Linked DNA regions of Macaca fascicularis. The protein of the gene in region 1 purifies or fractionates together with the protein of each later gene. This does not show direct contact. Links are inferred from orthologs where the notes say so. Each region holds a gene or a part of one and is shown in the gene's direction. Other genes may lie near its edges. The genes, in order: SAAL1 and SLC27A2.

Region 1 (9,935 bases):
TTGCATCTGTTATTCACAGTGGTACTTTTCCTTCCACACCTTCCCAAGTAAGTAAGTAAGCTTTCAGTGGTCATTGCTGTTAGTAAACTGCCAAGAACAATAGATAAAGACTAAAGGAGAGGACTTTATATACTGTACAGTGTACTGTGCTTTATTGCCAATTAAATTGCCATGTGCTGTGCATACACGGATTAGTAAATATCTGTTCAATAATTATAATTATGAAAAACTGCTGTTTACTGAATACCTGGTCTTACTACCAAGAGGTATACTTTTAAAGAACTAGATCTTGGGTGAAGATACGTGTTCAGGTCACACAACTAGGAAAGAATGGAGCTGAGATTTCAGCCTAGGCCTGACTCCAGTATAACCACTGTACTGTATTTCCTCTCTTTCAGATTATAAAATGGAGAATTCCGTAGTGTGTTGTTACAAATTGAATGTTGAATTAAAATTCTTATTTAAGTAGAATGTTCTGTCTGAATTAGGGCCTGATTAACCATTTTTTCCTTGGTTCCTTATATTAATGTAAGATTTGACAATTATGCTATTTTTGTACTGAGTTTTTCTGTCTTAAATATATTTACTCACTACTAGTGTATAAAGAATAAGCTTATGTCAGGAATGGCACCTTTTAGGATTTAGTCATATTGTTGTATATATCCGCTGGCCACTGTCTGCTGCCACAGTGATTCTCAGCCTTGGCTGCATGTTAGAATCACCTGGGACATGGGCTGTCAAACTTAAGCATGTCCCCGCATCACTAATCGCCAAGCCCCCCTCCAGAGTTTCTAGTCCAGTAGGTCCAGGATTCCTAATATGTTCCCAGGTGACGCTGGTGCTCTGGAGCATTGCCAGACTCTGAGAAGCTTTGCCCTGGGGAACTTTTGAAAATCTTGAGTCAGGCCATACCCTAGATGAGTTAAAGCAGAATCTCCAAGTGTGAGACTTTGGCCAGCTTTTAAAGTTCCCCAGGTGATTCCAGTGAGCAGCCAAGACAGAAAAACTTGATCTTTGATTGGAAGTTCAGTTATTCCCTCTTTAGTTTATAAGGGAAATGTATGTGGTTTTTTCCTGCCCCTACTCACTCTTAATCTTTTCCCAACATTTGACCACCCACATTTTTTTGAAACTTCATTTCTGTAGCTCCTGTGTCATCTCACTGTCGTCTCTGACCTCTTGAGTCACTCCTCTCTCACCTTTCATTGGCTTTTTTCTTTCTTCCTTTTTTATACTGTCCCGAATATGGACTTTTTGTAAGGTGTAGGCCTGATCCTTTGCTCTCATTATATTCATTTTCCTAGTGAACTTATGTGTTTTCTTTACACCTTTAAGTTGCAACTCGCCTGTAGGAGCAAAGCCTTGACTTCCCTTCTGATAACTGATGTCACATCTCCAACTTTCTTCAGGCATTCTCTGCTTGCATGCTGTACAGTTGTCCCTTGGTATACACGGGGGATGGTTGCAAGACATTCCCCCATACTGAAATCCGCACATACTCAATTCTGCAGTCAGCTCTGTGGAACCTGTGTGTATGAAAAGTCAGCTCTGCATATTACGCAGGTTTTGCATCTTGAGGACACTGTATTTTCATTCCAAGTTTGGTTAGAAAAAATCCACCTCTAAGTGGACCCACACATTGAAACCTGTGTTGTTCAAGGGTCAGCTGTGCTCTCTAACCCTGAATTGTGTATGTCCTCAGTGATTTATGGTCACGCTTATCTGATCATAAAAGTCACCTGGTATATGCTGGGTAAACAATAGCTTTCCAGGCTGTACCCTGAAAATTATAATTCAGTAGATCTGAGATGAGATTTGGAAATCTGTATTTTTAACAAGCTCCCTGAGTGATTGTTACATTCCAGCCAGCTTGGAAACACCGTACCATCTGAACTCATTGTAGCCTTTTATGCACTTTCTTTTTTAGTTTTCCTGTCAATGGGACCAATATCACTGACTGAGAAAATGAGGCAACTTGAAAGCTAGGAGTCAGGTTCAGCTGCTTTCTCCCTCATCCTCACATTGGATTATTTTGCTTTCACCTTGAGAGTCTTCCTCAGCTTCATCCTTTTCCATGCCTGAGGGCCCTCCTCCTCTTGCGTCTTGATAACTGAGGTGCAGTTTGGAATAGTGGTTAAATGCTCAAGCTCTGGAGCTCTGCCATGTTCTAGTTGGAGATCTCAAGATCTTAGGCAAGTAGCTTAACTTCTCTGTGCCTTAGTTTCCTCATCTGAAAAAATGGGGATACTATTAGTACCTTTCACCCAAGTTATTATATGAAATTATACACGGAAAATGCTTAGAGTAATGCCTGGCCATAATGAGTGGTAATAAATGTTATTACATATTAATTAACTATTACTGAGATAGATTCTTAAATTCTTTTCAACTTCTTTTCCCTATGCACTAGTCTCCCCTTATCCTTGGGAGATACATTCCAAGGCCCCTAGTGCCTAAAATCAAAGAATAGAACTGAACCCTATTTATAATATGCACAAATTTCCTTTTCCTTCTTCACAATTTCATGGATAGATTTGTTCTTAGAGATCCTAAGCAACCTCAGCATACATTTTTGTATGTTTTTCTTATGAAGTCAAGAACTTTCACCTTTTCATGTAAAGAAAGCACTTAATGGTGGCTCCTTGACATATCCAAATGGCCAGCATCGCTACTCTTGTGCTTTGGGGCCATTATTAAGTAAAATAAGGGTGACATGAACACAAGCCCTGTGAGATACCATGATGGTCGATCTGATAGCCAAATGGCTACTAAGTAACTAATGGGCAGGCAGCGTATACAGTGTGGATATGTTGAACAAAAGAATGAGTTACATCCCAGGTGAGACGGTGCAAGATTTCATTGTGCTACTCAGAAAGGCATGCAATTTAAAACATGAATTGTTTATTTCTGGACCTTCCCATTTAGTACTTTTATACCAAGGTTGACCATGGGTAACTGATACCGTGGATAAAGAGGGGCTACACTAATTCATTATGCATTTTGCCACCAGAATAATCTTTCTAAGATACTGTTTCAGTATGTTGTCTCCCCTCCTTGAGCATCTTCATGATTCCAAATAACTTCCCAGATTAAATCTAATTCTTCAGCATGGCATTCAGAGCCCTTAATCTCAGTCCTTTATACCTGCGGTATTTACCTCATGCTGTTCACCCACTTTGTGCCACAACCGGAGTACTTTATTGTCTACCGTCTTCGCCACATACATGATTCCCTTCCTGCCTTTGCTGATACTGTCCCCTTATTTGAATGTCTGTCTTTTTGTTTGCGTATCTCAATACTATCAATCATTTAACACTCGTTTTATCGATAGGAGTTCTTCTTCCATAGCTCCTGCCTTTGCCCTTTCTTGTTCTTATGTCTTTCATCCCTTCTCAAATACTGTAAGCTTGTCAAAGTTAGGGTACAGGCAGTATATGTATTTCTTTATCCTGCCTCCCCTCTGCCTTACCCCAAAAGTTGGCTCAGTGAAAGTTTTTGTTCAAGTTGATATTTTTGTTTATGTCTTTCATCTCAGAGCCATTGTGACTTGTAAAATTTGATTTGGCAGGAAATCTGTGTGGGAATTTTAGGTAATATGGCCTGTTTCCAGGAGATATGTGTGTCCATCAGCAGTGATAAAAATCTTGGGTAAGTCTTACTATATAATCATGTTTTTAAACATATTCTTTTATATCCTTAAGGAAATTTGTCTTAGGAAAAGTAGCAAATCTGAAAGACAGTCTTTTCTTTGTCTTGATGAATACTCTCTAGGAACTTCATTGTGTGTTGATGGTAGCTAGGGGCTTCTTCAGGAGGTACTGAAATAATTCAGGATTTAAACCTGTTTTCTTCAGTAGCAAAGGAACCTGAATTGTCAGCTGGTGGCAGTAAGCCAGATAGGGGAAGAACCAGTGGGACAAAACTTGGAGATGGTGCAGCCAACTGGAATCCAAAACATTTTAGGTGCAGAGAATCCAGTGACTCAGCTGGAGTCTGCAGAAACTAGATTTGTTGAATAATGTCACCCTGAGAGCTCTGACTTAGAGGATAAGACTTGCCAACAAACTAGAAGATAAAGAGTTGCCTCTGTGATGAAAAGACTCAGATTTCTGCTTCGAGGCTACTTCTCTTCTCCATGTGTAAAGTTCTGGGCAGAAGGTTTTTTAACGGAGGAAACCCAAGTTTGGTTACTGTGTTCTGAGAACACCCTGAAATTATATGCTAAATTTTGTGGGTGTATTAGTTTTCTAGGCAAAGGGTTCATGGCTGTTAATCAGAATCTCAAAAAAATTTGTACCCAAATAGGTTAAGAAAACTGTTCTAGGCAGTTTTTGTCAGAGCTGGGGCCGTGAGGGTTTTATCACAGGATTCAAGTACCTGGGTTTCTCAGAAAGAGATAACTCCTAGTTGTGGAGGGACTTTAAGATCCTAGTTCAGAGTATTTATTCCTCAGTAATTTACAGTCATCCATGGAGCAAATGACTTAGGATTATGTTTGGTCTCTATAATGTTCTCTATCAAAACTCCAGGAATGAGAAATGTTAACAAATATTATAAATTCAAGTAAATGCTTATCTTAATATTAGTATGGTGCAAGTTATTTTGCTGATGGGATATAAATTTGTTGAACCACTTTAGAATAGTTGGGCGTTATCTGGTCACGTTGGAACATATGCATGTGCTGTGACCAGCTCATAGTGGGCATATATGGTAAGAGAAACTGTGCACATGTGCATCAGGATAACTCTTACAAATATTATAGGAGGATTACTTGAAATAGCCCCAAATTAGAATCAACGCAAATGGCCATCAGCAGTAGTCTGGAAAAATAAATTGTGTTATTTTCACACAATGGAGTACTCTGCAACAATCTGTCAAAGAATAACAGCTAAAGAAACAACATGGGTGGATCTTACATGTATAGTTTCCAGCAAATAAATGAAGACTCAAAAGAATAAGTATAATATAATTTATTTCATATGTTGTCTCCCCTCCTTGACCATCTTCATGAATCCGAATAACCTCCCAGATTATGTCTATTTATTCAGCATGTCCTCTTAATCCTTTTACCTGCAGTATAAAGCAACACCAAAATATATAAAATAATAAAACTATAGAGCAAAGTAAAGAAATAATTGCTGGAAAAATCAGAATGGTCATCATTTCTAGGTGGGAAAGAGAATTGTGATTTGGAATGGACACATGGTGACTACTGAGATGCAGCTCTGTTCTGTTTCTTGGAAACACGAGTGTTTGCTTTATAATTATTTATTAACTATAGATTTGTATCTTTTGGGCTTTTCTGAATACATGCTGTATTTCACAATAAAGATGTTAAAAAACTTAAATGAAAACTCGGATATTTTAAATGCAAGAAGTGAGGCATATCGGTTAACTTCTTTGTTTTTGTAGGCAGGTATTATTGCACTGTTTGTATGATTCAGACCCACCTACTCTGCTGGAAACAAGCAGGTATGCTTTTCCTTTCATGAATTCTATAAGGTTACTCATAAGAGTAGCTAAGAAAAAAAGCTAATTTTTTATTTTCGAATTTCCTTTACTGTTTTATTTTTTTTTGAAAAGTAGAAATTCAACCCACGTTTACCATGTAGGTTGTTGCTTACTTGCCTTTCCCAGGCAGAAGTGGCCAGTGTTTGGGTTGAAAGGATCCGGGAACATTCAGCGATTTATGATAGCATTTGCTTCATTATGTCAAGTTCAACAAATGGTAAGTCATCATGTAGTCTAGAAAAAAAAAAGTTTTAAATTTTATTTAATTTTTAGGAAACCATGTAACTATTTCTAGAAGTCACCTTTTTGAAAAAAGCCTTGGGTGCAAGGTAATAAAGTTTGTTAGTTTGAGACAGAATCTTGCTCTGTCACCCAGGTTGGAGTGCAGTAGTGTGATCATAGCCCACTACAGCCTCAAACTCCTAGGCTCAAGGTATCCTTCTGTTAATCTCCCCAATAGCTGGGACTATCGTTGTGCACCGCCATGCTCAGCTCATTTTAAAATTTTTTGTAGAGCTGGAGTCTCACTTTCTTGCCCAGGCTGGTTTCGAACTCATGTGTTCAAGCAGTCATCTAGCCTTGGCCTCCCAAAAGTGTTGGGATTACAGGTGTAAGCCACCATGCCCAGCTTTTTGTTTGTTTTTTGGAGAAAGTTTTTTGATTGAAGATATAAAATTTCTTAAATTCCTGGGACACTGATGAATTCCTCATTTAAAAATGAGGAAAAATACGCAAATTTAAACATGTGAGATAAGTAAATCACCCTTTAGAATAAGTACTGCTTTGGCAAGGTTTGGTTTTGTTAGAATAGCTGTAGGAATTTTGCTTAACCCTATTGCTTTTAGCAATTTGTTTTTATTTCAATCTTTGTTTTATTCTCTGCAGTTGACTTGCTGGTGAAGGTGGGGGAGGTTGTAGACAAGCTCTTTGATTTGGATGAGAAACTAATGTTGGAATGGGTCAGAAATGGGGCTACTCAGCCTCTGGACCAACCCCAGGAAGAGTCTGAAGAGCAGCCAGTGTTTCGGCTCGTGCCCTGTATACTCGAAGCTGCCAAACAAGTACGGTAGGTGAGCTCTTTCGTGCAAAGTGCTCTGGGAAAATGCAATTGATAGAAGTATTCTCAGATATAAAAGTCTTCTTAGATTCCTTACAACAGAATAAAGTACACAGTCACTCCTTGTTACGTTAATTCACTACTAATATTTGTGATGCAACCTGTATGCTTTTTATAAGAATGATAGTGGTTACAAACTTCCTGTTACATTATCATTTAGCTATAGGCTGTTATTCAACATTAACTGTGGTTTCTGTCTTATCATATTTTATGTAATTTAAACCAAAGAGAAAACATTTTCTTGTGCTTTTACGTTGAACATTTAACAACTTCTTAATTAACGTTGCACATCTTTTTTTTTTTTGCTCCTTGTGTTTATATGCCAGTCTTCAATAAGTGACTGATTTTGGGACTCTGATGTCTTGTCAAGAGTGATTACTAAGCCTTATAGGTCATTAAAACTGTTTATTGCTAATCACTAGAAAATTAATTTTTAAATTGATCTGCTTAGTGATTTGCTTAGTGCATTCTTAGTGCTGAGTAAGCCACATCAAACCTATTAATTTTGTGTCCTTTATCCAAGTGAGGATTAAATTCATCATCTTTCCCTAAACCTGCTTCATCAGTATTCTCAATCTCAGTAAATGATGTAATCACTGTCCTGTTTGGATAATATAGAAGAAATGGAGAAGCCATTACAGAATCTTTCCTGCCCCAGTATTTTCCCATTGTAGTCAACTCCCAACCCTTATTCCTGACTTTTTCTGGGATTCCATCCATGCCAGTCAAGCCATTATTGTCTCTCATCTGGAGAACTGCCACATTCTTTTACTTGAATTCGCTGCCTCTATGCTTGCTTTTCCCAAGCCTAGACTTTAAAGCTGTTTTTGCAAAGTACGTACTCGTCTCACTCTCATGCTTCAGTCTTTTCAGTTACCTTCCTTAGGATAAGGTCCAGAAAAAAACAAAAACAAACACAAACACAGCTTGGGTACTGTGTACATCACCGGGGTGATGGGACCATCCATATTCCCAAACCTCAGCACCATGCATGTAACAACCCCCAACATGTACCTTCTGAATCCAAAATATAAATAAATAAAATAGGGGGAAAAAGAATGAAATAAATGAAAAATTCTCAGAAAAATAAAGTGCAGCTTATAGGCCCAGTAGTACTATCCTTATTCCTTGTACTCTGCGTTTCAGTCATGTGAAGTTTGCTTCACTTCTTCAACTGAACCAGCTCTCTTGTCTCCAGGCCTTTGCACAGTATGTTTCCTCCACCTCACATACTTCTTTGCCCCTTCATGTTTCTGTGTAAACATCATTTTTCTTAAGGTACCTCCCCTGACCCTGCAAACTGAGTCTCCTTGCTATATAGTGGCTCCTAGCCCTATAGTGTTACATTCATACCACGTTATTGTAATTACCCCGCTAGCAATCTTCTTTCTTTTTAAAGTATAAACTTTATGAAGGTAGGGATAACATCTTATACATCTGTTTTCTCAACTCCTAACATAGTGCCTGAAATTTAATTTGTAAGTACTTAAATAAACATTTGCCAAACCATTGTTTTAATTGTTCACTGTCTTTTCACTTGCTTGGTTGAAGAACTAAGATTTTGAGTTTCCAAACTATTTAGATTTTTGAGAATCCAAATGGTTGATCATAAGAATTAGACTTATATGCTTTTAGTATTCTCAGCTAGGGGGCTAGGATAATCCTGAGACGTTTTCAGAACATCATTTTTGTTGATGCATGGTGCAGTGGACCTTACGTTCATACTATAAAAATCGCAGTCATTTTTTTGTTCTGATTATTCAAGCAAACCAAAATGATAAAGTATCAACTAGCAGGTTTCTGCATTGTTGCTTTTATGAGATAGAGCCAAAAAGATTTTTTTACTTCTTGTCCTGTGTGTGTTGATTATTTTATATAATGTTTATTTTTTGCTGTTTCCCCTATTAGAATATAAAAGCTCTAACGAGCACAGAGCCTTCGTTCCTTTCCTTGTTTTATCCTCAGCACCTTGAACAGTGGCTGGCAGAGTAATAGATATTTATTGAATGGATGAATGATTGGAATCCCCTGGACAGTAACGTTGATTCAGTGCTTTTACTTTTCCTGTTTAGTTCTGAAAATCCAGAATGGCTTGATGTTTACATGCATATTTTACAACTGCTTACTACAGTGGATGATGGAATTCAAGCAATTGGTAAGATGGTTTATCGGAAGCGCTACAGTTACTCATTTAATTGTTTGCTGATTTTAAAGTACTGCTTTATTTGTTGTCTTTATTAAGTACATTGTCCTGACACTGGAAAAGACATTTGGAATTTACTTTTTGACCTGGTCTGCCATGAATTCTGCCAGTCTGATGATCCACCCATCATTCTTCAAGAACAGAAAACAGTGCTAGCCTCTGTTTTTTCAGTGTTGTCTGCCATTTATGCCTCACAGACTGAGCAAGAGTATCTAAAGATAGAAAAAGGCAAGTACAATTTCCTAGGCTCATATTGTTTTTCATTTCATTGATTTCTCCCTTTTAAAAAACGCTTTCATTTCCCTAGTTATAAAAATATGCTAAACTTCAAAATTTATTTTATTATTGTATTTATTTACTTATTTTACTTTTTATTTATTTTTATTTTTTGGAAACAGAGTCTTGCTCTGCTGCCCAGGCTGGAGTGCGGTGGTACGATCTTGGCTCACTGAAACCTTTGCCTCCTGGATTCAAGTGATTCTCGTGCCTCAGCCTCCCAAGTAGCTAGGATTACAGCCACATACCACTGTGCCCAGCTAATTTTTGTATTGTTTCAGTAGAGACAGCGTTTCACCATGTTGGCCAGGCTGGGCTGGAACTCCTGAGCTCAGGTGATCCACCCGCCTCGGCCTCCCAGAGTGCTGGGATTACAGGTGTGAGCCACCCCGCCTGGCCTATTTACTTATTTTAAAGACAGAGTCTTATTTTGTCGCCCAGGCTATAGTGCCATGGCAGGATCATAGCTCACTGCAACCTTGAATTCCTGGGCTCAGGTGATTGTCTCACCTCAGCCTTCTGAGTAGCTGGTACTACAGCCACATGACACCACACCTGGCTAGTTTTTAAATTTTTTATAGAGACAGGGTCTTACAATCTTGCCCAGGCTTGTCACAAACTCCTGGGCTCAAATGACCCTCCTGCCTTGCCTTCCAGAGTGCTGGGATTACAGGCATGAGCCTCAGCACCCTGCCTAAAAATTGATAAAAAATATCAAGGAAACATGATGTCTGTAATCTTATCATCCAACACATGCACATATATTTAATTCTGCTTTTTAGCCGACATTTCATTTAGAAATATAAAATGAATATTTTCCTATGTAAA
Region 2 (9,935 bases), on another chromosome or scaffold:
TACGGTCACTTTTGCTAAGTATTTCAGTAAATGAGAAGAAGCCAGAATTGATATATTAAAGCTGGTGCCCAAAACATAATGCCTCTCATTTTTTTATTTTTTTATTTTTATTGCCAGGCCAACAGAAAGGTGAGCTGGCACAATTAACCGATTGCTCTGCTGCACACAGACACTCCCTTAACATATGGGACTTTTATCATCATTTCTTAATAGAATGGTAAAATCAAATTGTAAATGTTTATTTGGGAAAGGATTGAGCCCTTGGTTAGTGAGGGGGAAATCCAGTCTTAGTACTGTGTAAACAAGTATGAAACTTTGTTATAATGCTGTTTTCACAGTCAAATAGAAAATCCCTTTTAGGGAGAAAAAGGAGAATGAGCATTCTCTGATTTAATCTCTTAAGTCAGAATTTATATTTAATTGGAAGACAATTGAATGGGTGTTTATTTTACTTTTTTCATTTTCTCTGAATCAAATATTTGCTAGGCCAAGCACAGTGGCTCACATCTATAATCTCAGAACTTTGGGAGGCTAAGGCAGGAGGTTCACTTGAGCCCAGAAGTTTGAGACCAGACTGGGCAACATAGCGAGACCCCATCTTTACAAAAACAGTAAAAAATTAGCTGGCATAGTGGTACACCTTGTAGTCCTAGCTACTTGGGAGACTGAGGTGGGAGGATCACTTGAGCCCAGGAGTCTGAGGTTACAGTGACGTGCCACTGCACCCCATGCTGGGTGACAGAGCAAGGCACTCTCTGTAGAAAAAAAAAATGCCAAGTTACTCTTGTAAACATTAATTAAAAGAATTCATTTAAACAGTTGGAGAACAAATGTCCCTGTTCCTCAAAGGAAGTCGTTAGCACAAAATTATATAATAGTTATCAAATATTCTCATTTCTTCATTGATACAAAATCTTAATTTAGGAAAGTTCTGAAAGTACTTCAAGGCAACAAAGATGAGCATTTCTTTTTTAAAAATTGAGAGGCCAGGCACGATGGCTCTTATCTACAATCCCAACACTTTGGGGCCAAGATGGGAGGCTCACTTGAAGCCAAGAGTTCAAGATCAGTCTGGGCAATAAAGCAAGACCTCGTCTCTACAAAAAATATAAATAAATTAGTCAGGCATGGTGGTGCACACCTGTGGTCCCAGATACTTGCGGGGATGAGACAAGAGGATCACTTGACCTGAGGCTGTGGTGAGCCTTGAACACCACTACACTCCAGCCTGGCAACAGAGTGAAAGCCTATCTCAAAAATAATACTAATAATAATATATAAAACAAAACAAAACAACTGGCCCATTGTCAAAGAAAATGAATTTTGAATTGTGTTTACAATAATGGTAGGTTGCTGACCATATTTGTCTGCCTCGGAACAAGTTGCTGCTATTTGGGCAATATCCGGTGAATGTACCATCAAGTATTGAAGAATCTGAGTCAACAGAGATCTGTCTTCCTCTTCATGAAGTCTACTTACCCACTCAGATCTGAAACTCTTAGTCCCCTTCCCAGTGACTTCATGCCCTCCCCAATTGAACTGTTCTTCCATGGGAAACAATATAAGCAAACACTTAACAGAAGAAAATCTTACAAAAACGTATATAAATTATGGTTAAGAATATGCAAACGCATTTAGTCTAATGTACTAAAACTACATGGAGATACCGTTTTTCACCTTTCTGACTGGCAAAGGTCCCAACATTTAAGAGCACACATTGACAAGGCTAGGAGGAAACAGGCATACTCATGTATTGCTGGTAGGAGAATGAATGGGGACACCCCTTATAACTGGCAATGTGGCAGTTATTTATCAAGATTACAAAGACTTTTTTTTTTGAGACAGGGACTCAATCTGTTGCCCAGGCTGGAGTACAGTGGCAGGATCAGGGCTCACTGTAGCCTCAACCTCCTGGGCTCAAGCAATCCTCCTACCCAAGAAGCTAGGACTACAGATGCATGCTGCCACGCCCAGCTAATTTGTTTTACTTTTTGTTGAGGAGGGGTCTCACTATGTTGCCCAGACTGGTGCTGAACTCCTGGGCTCAAGCGATCCTCCTGCCTCAGCATCCCAAAGTGCTGGGATTACAGGACTGGCCATCTTTTATCTTTTGACACAACAATCTCACTTCTGTGAATTTATCCAAAAGATATGGTGTCATTCATATGTGAACTGCCATGTGGACGAGGTTCTTCACTGCAGCATCATTTGTAACAGCAAATAGTATAAATAAATTATAATAGACTCATAAAAGGACTTCTGAAGGAGCTGAGAAAGAGAATAAATAAATGAATAAGAAAAATCTCTATGTACAAACATGAACAAATCTCCAATAAACAGTGTTAAGCAGCAGAGACAAAAAACATGCAAAAGAGTGTGCTTTTTTTTTTTTTTGAGACAGAGTCTGACTCTGTCGCCCAGGCTGGAGTGCAGTGGCGCTATCTCAGCTCACTGCAACCTCCGCCTCCCAGGTTCACGCCATTCTCCCGCCTCAACTTCCCAAGTAGCTGGGACTACAGGTGCCCACCTCCACGCCTGGCTAATTTTTTGTATTTTTAGTAGAGACGGGATTTCACCATGTTAGCCAGGATGGTCTCGATCTCCTGACCTTGTGATCCATCCACCTTGGCCTCCCAAAGTGCTGGGATTACAGGTGTGAGCCATCGCACCCAGCTGAGTGTGCATATTTTTTAATGGAAAAGGCAAGAACATATAAGGAAATGTTCATATTTGCTTTGTTTGTATAAAATAACTCCAGTACATAAGAAATCTCTCTGACTCCCAGCCTTCACATCTGTGGATTGGAGAATATAATTCTGTTTATGTCATACATAAACATGTTATGGAAATTAAATGACATTTTTTAAATTTCATGCAAAATGGTAGCCACAGAGCAGAAATTCAATAGACATTCATTCCTCTGTTTTCTGTTTCTCTTCAGATTACTACCATCTAACCATCTAACTCAGGAGTTAGCAATCTGTTGCTTGTGGGCCAAATACAGCTTCCCACCTGTTTTTATAAATAAAGTTTTATTGGAACACAGCCACACTCCATTTATGTGTATGTGTATGGCTGCTTTTGACCACAATAGCAGAGTTCAGTTGTTGCAACAGAGATTGTATGACCCACAAAGCCTAAAACATTTACTCTCTGGTCCTTTATAGAAAAAATTTGTCAACTTCTGGTCTAACCGGTCATGGCCCTTCCCAGTGCAATTCTCAAAATACAGGATGATTAATCTTCCTAAGCCAGATCTCTCTCCTACACTGTAAATGCCCAATCTTGGTTAACTCATACCTTCTCTTGTATATTTGCAAAGGTCTTCCAAAAGCGGCCATGATCACTCATCAGCGCATATGGTATGGAACTGGCCTCACTTTTGTAAGCGGATTGAAGGCAGATGATGTCATCTATATCACTCTGCCCTTGTACCACAGTGCTGCACTATTGATTGGCCTTCATGGATGTATTGTGGCTGGTAAGTTTTTCCTACAAAGTGTTGGAGGCGAGTGCACATTTACATTTTCTCACAAGGAACAGTAATATAAAATTTGGCTACGTTGCTGTCTGCTTGGAACAGTCTTCAATTTTGCTTTAACAATAAGGCTATTTGACTCATATTACAAGCAAGCATCTAAAATAATCTGTTTTTTCATGCCTGCTTATCTAATAATATAATGCTATAATTGTTCAGCATATCAAGTGAGAAACTCCTTTAAATTTTTTAGAGCTGGGTGCAATGGTTCACACCTGTATTCCCAGCACTTTGGGAGACCAAGGCAGGAGGATTGCTTGAGGCCAGGAGTTCAAGACCAGCCTGGGCAACAGAGCAAACCTCATCTCTACAAAAAAAAAAAATAGCCAGGCATGGTGGCTCAAGTCTGTAGTCCCAGCTACCCAGGAGGCTGAAGTAAGAGAATTGCTTGAGTCCAAGAGTTCAAGATTGCAGTGAGCTGTGATTGCACCACTGCACTCCAAGCTGGTTGACAGAGTGAGACCTCAACTGTGAAAAATAAAATAAAAATAAAAATAAAAAATTATCTGTATCTAGGTTATGACACTTGAATCTTAGATTCTATGTCATGTCATTTCCATCTTTAGAAACTTACATGTTGATCTCCATCAGCATCTGATTTAAACTTCTTCAGTTGTGTGCACTCTTCTGCAGCCTCCCCTGTTTCCACAGCTTTTCAGCTCTACTAGAAGGAGAGAAGATGGCAACTCCATCAGAATACTTGGCTTGGCTTGCCATCTCTTCTCTTTCCTTCTCAGACTTTACTATTCAAATTGGAGTTGCCATCCTCTCTCCTTCCAGGAGGATTTATGTCACTTGTATACATTACTGCAAAGTTCAATAGCCACCTCTTCCAGGAAGCTATCTGTAACTTTCTGACTGAACTAAAAAGCAACTTTTTCTCCCATGTGGCATTTCATTTTAAATAATCATATATGTATATATAAAAATATATACACATATGTATATACACACACATATATGTGTGTGTATATGCATGCATGTCATGGATGGATATTTGTGTCCCCCAAAAATGTATGTGTTGAAATCCTAACCCCCAATGTGATGGTATTAGCTGGTAGGGTCTTTGGGAGGTAATTGGGTCATGAGAGAAGCACCTTCATGAAAGGTAGTGCCCTTATCAGAAGAGACAGGAGAGAGCTTCTTTCCTGACTCCGTTCTCTTCCATGTAAGGACACAGGGAGATGATGACCGTCCCCAAACCAGGAAAAATGCCCTCACCAGACACCCGATCTGCCAACACCTTGATAGGGACTTCGCAGCCTCCAGAACTGCAAGAGATATATGTTATTTAAGCCACCCAGTCTGTACTATATTGTTATAGCAGCTTAAACACACACACACACACACACACACACACACACACACACAATCCAAAAATTTGAAATCCAAAATGCTCCAAAATCTGAAACTTTTTGAGCACCAGGACACCACAAGTGGAAAATACTACAGATAAGTACTTAACACAAACTTTATTTTATGCACAAAATTATTTAAAATATTGCATGAACGAGCCAGGCACAGTGGCTCCTGCCCGTAATCCCAGCACTTTGGGAGGTTGAGGCAGGCGAATCACTTGAGGTCAAGAGTTTGAGACCAGCCTGGTCAACATGGCAAAACCCCATCACTTCTTAAAAAATACAAAAATTAGCCAGGCATGATGGTGCCCGCCTATAATCCCAGCTACTTAGAGACTGAGGCACAAGAACCCACAAGGCGGAGGTTGCAGTGAGCCAAGATTGCACCACTGCACTCCAGCCGGGGCAACAGAGCGAGACTCGGGCCAGGTGCAGTGGCTCACGCCTGTAATCCCAGCACTTTGGGAGGCCGAGGGGGACAGATCACAAGGTCAGGAGATTGAGACCATCTGGCTAACACAGGGAAACCCCATCTCTACTAAAAATACAAAAAATTTGCCAGGCGTGGTGGCACACAGCTGTAATCTCACCTACTCAGGAGGCTGAGGCAAGAGAATCACTTGAACCCAGGAGGCGGATGTTGCAGTGAGTCAAGATGGCACCACTGCACTCCAGCCTGGGTGACAGAGCGAGACTCAGTCTCAAAAAAAGAAAAAAAAAAATAGAACGAGACTCTGTCTCAAATATATACACACACACACACACACACACACGTATGTGTGTGTATATGTGTATTTTTGAGACAGTCTCACTATATATATTTATATAGCATGAAATATTTATATTTATTTATATATATATATTTTTTTTGCATGAAATCTCTGTCCCTCCCCCCTCCCTCCCTCTTAGGACCTCATTTGAATCTCTTACTGCAAGCTGACTTTTATTAAAATGACCTTTGTATAAGTCTTCTCCTCCATAGATTGGAAGCCCCTATCAAACAAAACCATGTCTTACTAATTTTTTGCATTGAATATAAGGTACTCAATACTTGTTTGCAAATATAATTTACTTTTAAATTTCTGTCTTTCAAAGTTCACAAATTAAATATAATTGGGAGAATTTTTTCTACCATTTCTTTCTTCACACTTTCTTTTTGTTTGTTTTTTTTTTTTTTTGAGACGGAGTCTTGCTCTGTGCCCCAGGCTGGAGTGCAGTGGCACAATCTCGGCTCACTGCAAGCTCCGCCCCCCGGGTTCACACCATTCTCCTGCCTCAGCCTCCCGAGTAGCTGGGATTACAGGCACCCGCCACCATGCTTGGCTAATTTTTTTGTATTTTTAGAAGAGAGGGGTTTCACCGTGTTAGCCAGGATGGTCTCGATCTCCTGACCTTGTGATCCGCCCGCCTCGGCCTCCCAAAGTGCTGGGATTACAGGCTTGAGCCACCACGCCCGGCCTCTTTCTTGACACTTTCTATGCTTTCTCTGTAGGTGCTACTCTTGCCTTGCGGACTAAATTTTCAGCCAGCCAGTTTTGGGATGACTGCAGAAAATACAACGTCACTGTCATTCAGTATATCGGTGAACTGCTTCGGTATTTATGCAACACACCACAGGTAACACTACCCCGGTTGTACTATCATTTTGAAATGGGTAAGATGGAAATTCAAGTCACTTTGGGTTGTGCTAGGCTTTAGCTGATTTGCGTATATCAGTTTTGAGTTTAGTATACAATTATCATGATAAAGTACTTGGCACTATACCTACCATATAGAGGGGACTTATTAGGTGGGAGTTCATATTATCATGATGATGATTATTATTTCCTGACTTTTTACTTGTTTTCACATCTTACCCCCCACCTAGCATATCATGCATTTCCCTCTCTGCTTACTAAAAGCCATTGTCAAAGCCCAGTTCAAATGATACCTCATACATTAAACCTATTTGGGTCACTCCAACAAAAGTCATTACTCTTCTCCCCTACGTCATTTTATTTCTACCCTCTGTGGCCCTTGTCACATTGCAGGAGTTTGCGTTCATGCCTCCCATCCTTCCTTGGCTGTAATATCTTTGATGGCTGGAACCACATCTTGTCTCCTTGTTTTCTGTTATACCAAAACCATACAGGAAACTTTTACTTAATATTGTTTAATAAATAAATCCCTGCGTGACTTTGAAACCAACCAGCCAAGTCTGTCACCAAGCTGGGAACAGAGGCCCCAGGGCATCTCCAACGGCCTTGGATCTGCCTGGTTTGCAGATGTTCAGCTCTCGATGGGGTTGTTCTCAAGAGCTCCTCCTGCCCAGTCCCTCAACTCTCATCACAGATCTGGTATCAGATAGGATTTATCAACAGTGGCACTGCTGACACTTTGGGCTTTTAATTCTTTGCTGCATGGACTTATTCCGTGCATTGTAGAGTGTTTAGCACCCTTTGAACTTTGCCCACGAGATGCCAGTAGTAACCTCCCCACCTGCCCAGGTTGTGATCATCAAAATGTCTCCAGATACTGCCAAATATCCCTTGGCAGGCAAATGCTACCCTAGTTGAGAACCACTGGGCAAGACAATGCAGTAAACTTGCCAGATTCTAATCCCTTTCACCAGATTCTAGTTCCTTTAATCTACTCAGTCAACTTAACCTCAAAGGATCACTAAGTTGATAAATTGCTATTGATAAACACCTGTTGTGCTCACCTTACATACCAGCCGCTATGTGACGCAGAAAGAAGTGTCGGATGCTCTTCCCCCAGGTCTCTCTCACCTCGCTTTACTCAGTATCTGCCCAGATGTTACCTCATTAGGAGAGAGGCCTCTCCTGCTAATAATCAAACATATCACCTGCCCCTCACTGTCCAGCTTGTCACTGCATTTCATGGCACCTGTCACTCCTGACATACTAAAGGTTTATGCGATTATTGTCTGGCCCCCCCGCCCAATTAAATGAAAGTTGCATATGAGCAGGGGCTCTGTCCACTACCAGATCCACAGCACCGAGATCTGTAAATGACATATCATAGGCATCAACAGATTTTGCGGACCGAACCTTTTAAATCCTTGACCCTGAAAAACATATAGTTGAGTTGAGGGAGCTAAAATGTTTCCCCCAAAATGTTTGGGCTTAGCACATATTATTCTGATTTTTTGGCATATTAAATAGATTCTTGAGGATCATCATTAGCAGTGAGTTGGGTTAGGGCGTTTTCCGCAGCAGTTTCTGTTAATGTCATTATTGAATTTTTTTCTCATTAATATTCCACGTGGCCCTCAAGATAGCATGTCTCTCCATTAACATCCAGAAATCCATATGGGGCCCTTCTGCTGGGCTTTTCTTCTCTACCTTAAAGACACTCCCTTGTCAGTTAGAAATCTCCTGGGGAGTGTGTGTTGTTTCTATACGTTCTAACGGGAGCTTCCTTTCAACTGGAGGAAAATAAGTATGTTTGTGTGTAGCTGTCTTAAGGCTTACACATATCCACATACACACATGCACACATACACACACACATGCATGCACTCTCCCAGTTTTTCTCTTACTGTTATCTCGAATACTGGAAAACAAAGACAATTTGATTGGGGTTTTATGACTTCAAAATATACTATGATTTAATGCATAATCTTGAATGACCCCTGGACTTCCTATTTGCCAGTGCTTCCCCACCCCTGAGTTCTGTTTGTCTGGAAAATACTCATAGAAAGTATAATAAAAGATCAAAGTTATCTCAACAACAACAAAAAAAAAACTTCAGTTAAAGATTTTTTTTTGATCACAGGTCATCAGTCCAGGCACGATGGCTCACGCCTCTAATCCCAACACTTTGGGAGGCCGAGGCGGGCAGATCATTCAAGGTCAGGAGTTCAAGACCAGCCTGGCCAACATGGAGAAACCCAGTCTCTACTAAAAATACAAAAATTAGCGGGGTTTGTTGGCACGCGCCTGTAATCCCAACTACTCGGGAGGCTGAAGCAAGAGAGTCGCTTGAAGCGGGAGGCAGATGTTGCTGTGAGCCAAGATTGTGCCACTGCACTCCAGCCTGGGTGACAGAACAAGACCCTATCTCAAAAAAAAAAAAAAAAAAAAAAAGGAAAAGAAAACAGAAAGGAAACAATCATAGGTCATTAGACAAGCAGGAGATCTATGCAAAATTTTTTTAAAAAATTTAATCATGGGTCATCATAGGAAGTAGGAAGTCCAGATTCTGTGGGGTATGGGAAAGATTATATCAAAAAGACTTTGCAAAAAATAAAAATAAAAAAGAATGGGATAAAAACTAGAATGAATGGGGGAAGGGCCTAGATCAATGTAATCGGGAACTTCCTCACCCTTAGAGCTGCCTAGAATACGCTGTGTCTGGAGGGACTAACCCCACCAACGACTCCCAAGCACTGGATGCCAGGGAGGTTTGCAACCTCTGCCTTAGCAGAGCAGCTAAACCAATGACACCCATCCACACACATACATGGCCCAGCTCATCAGGAGGATCTGGGGCCAGTGCTGGGAGGTGGAAGCCACTGTGCTTCTCTGCCCTCTTCTCAGCCATATTCAGTAGCTTCTCTGGTAGAGCAGGGGGCTATGGAGAATGTTCCTAGCCACACTCAGTGGTTCAGATTTGGCTCCAGATACTTAAAGTAGTGCTGAGAGCAAGTACTCTGGAGTTAGTCAGCCTGAATCCTGACTCTACTATTGGAGCAGGATAGTTAACCTCTCTAAATCTCAGCTTCCCATCAGCCGACAAGGAGATAATAGTACCTACCTCACATGAGGTCTACAAAGACAACATGAGATGATATACGTAAACCACGTAGTAGCTGGAACTTAGTAAATGCTCAACACATGTTGCCATTATTATCATTATCATTTTCCATGCCTAACAGTGTGTCGCTCATAATAGGCATCCCATACATATTTGTTGAATGAATCAATGAAAATTCTGCCCACTTACACAAAGAAAGAAATAAGGGAAAACATTCTACTTAATCACTCTCATCTGAGGTTGAGTAGGGGATTAGATAGCAAAGCTGTTGACCTAAGTGA

What was found.
Region 2: the proteins of SAAL1 (region 1) and SLC27A2 purify together in Homo sapiens (co-immunoprecipitation; 3 studies listed by BioGRID and IntAct, with this or other methods). This does not show direct contact. The link is inferred for Macaca fascicularis from reciprocal best matches to the Homo sapiens genes SAAL1 and SLC27A2.

What each region holds. Positions count from the first base shown.
Region 1 is NC_088388.1:47,679,830-47,689,764, forward strand, and holds part of SAAL1 (protein SAAL1), read left to right. Parts: intron 1-3,568; coding exon 3,569-3,648; intron 3,649-5,412; coding exon 5,413-5,472; intron 5,473-5,586; exon of another isoform or gene 5,587-5,612; coding exon 5,613-5,728; intron 5,729-6,396; coding exon 6,397-6,577; intron 6,578-8,700; coding exon 8,701-8,783; intron 8,784-8,870; coding exon 8,871-9,059; intron 9,060-9,935. UniProt on the Homo sapiens protein: Plays a role in promoting the proliferation of synovial fibroblasts in response to pro-inflammatory stimuli.
Region 2 is NC_088381.1:26,685,318-26,695,252, forward strand, and holds part of SLC27A2 (long-chain fatty acid transport protein 2), read left to right. Parts: intron 1-88; exon of another isoform or gene 89-217; intron 218-3,322; coding exon 3,323-3,481; intron 3,482-6,388; coding exon 6,389-6,513; intron 6,514-9,935. UniProt on the Homo sapiens protein: Mediates the import of long-chain fatty acids (LCFA) into the cell by facilitating their transport across cell membranes, playing an important role in hepatic fatty acid uptake.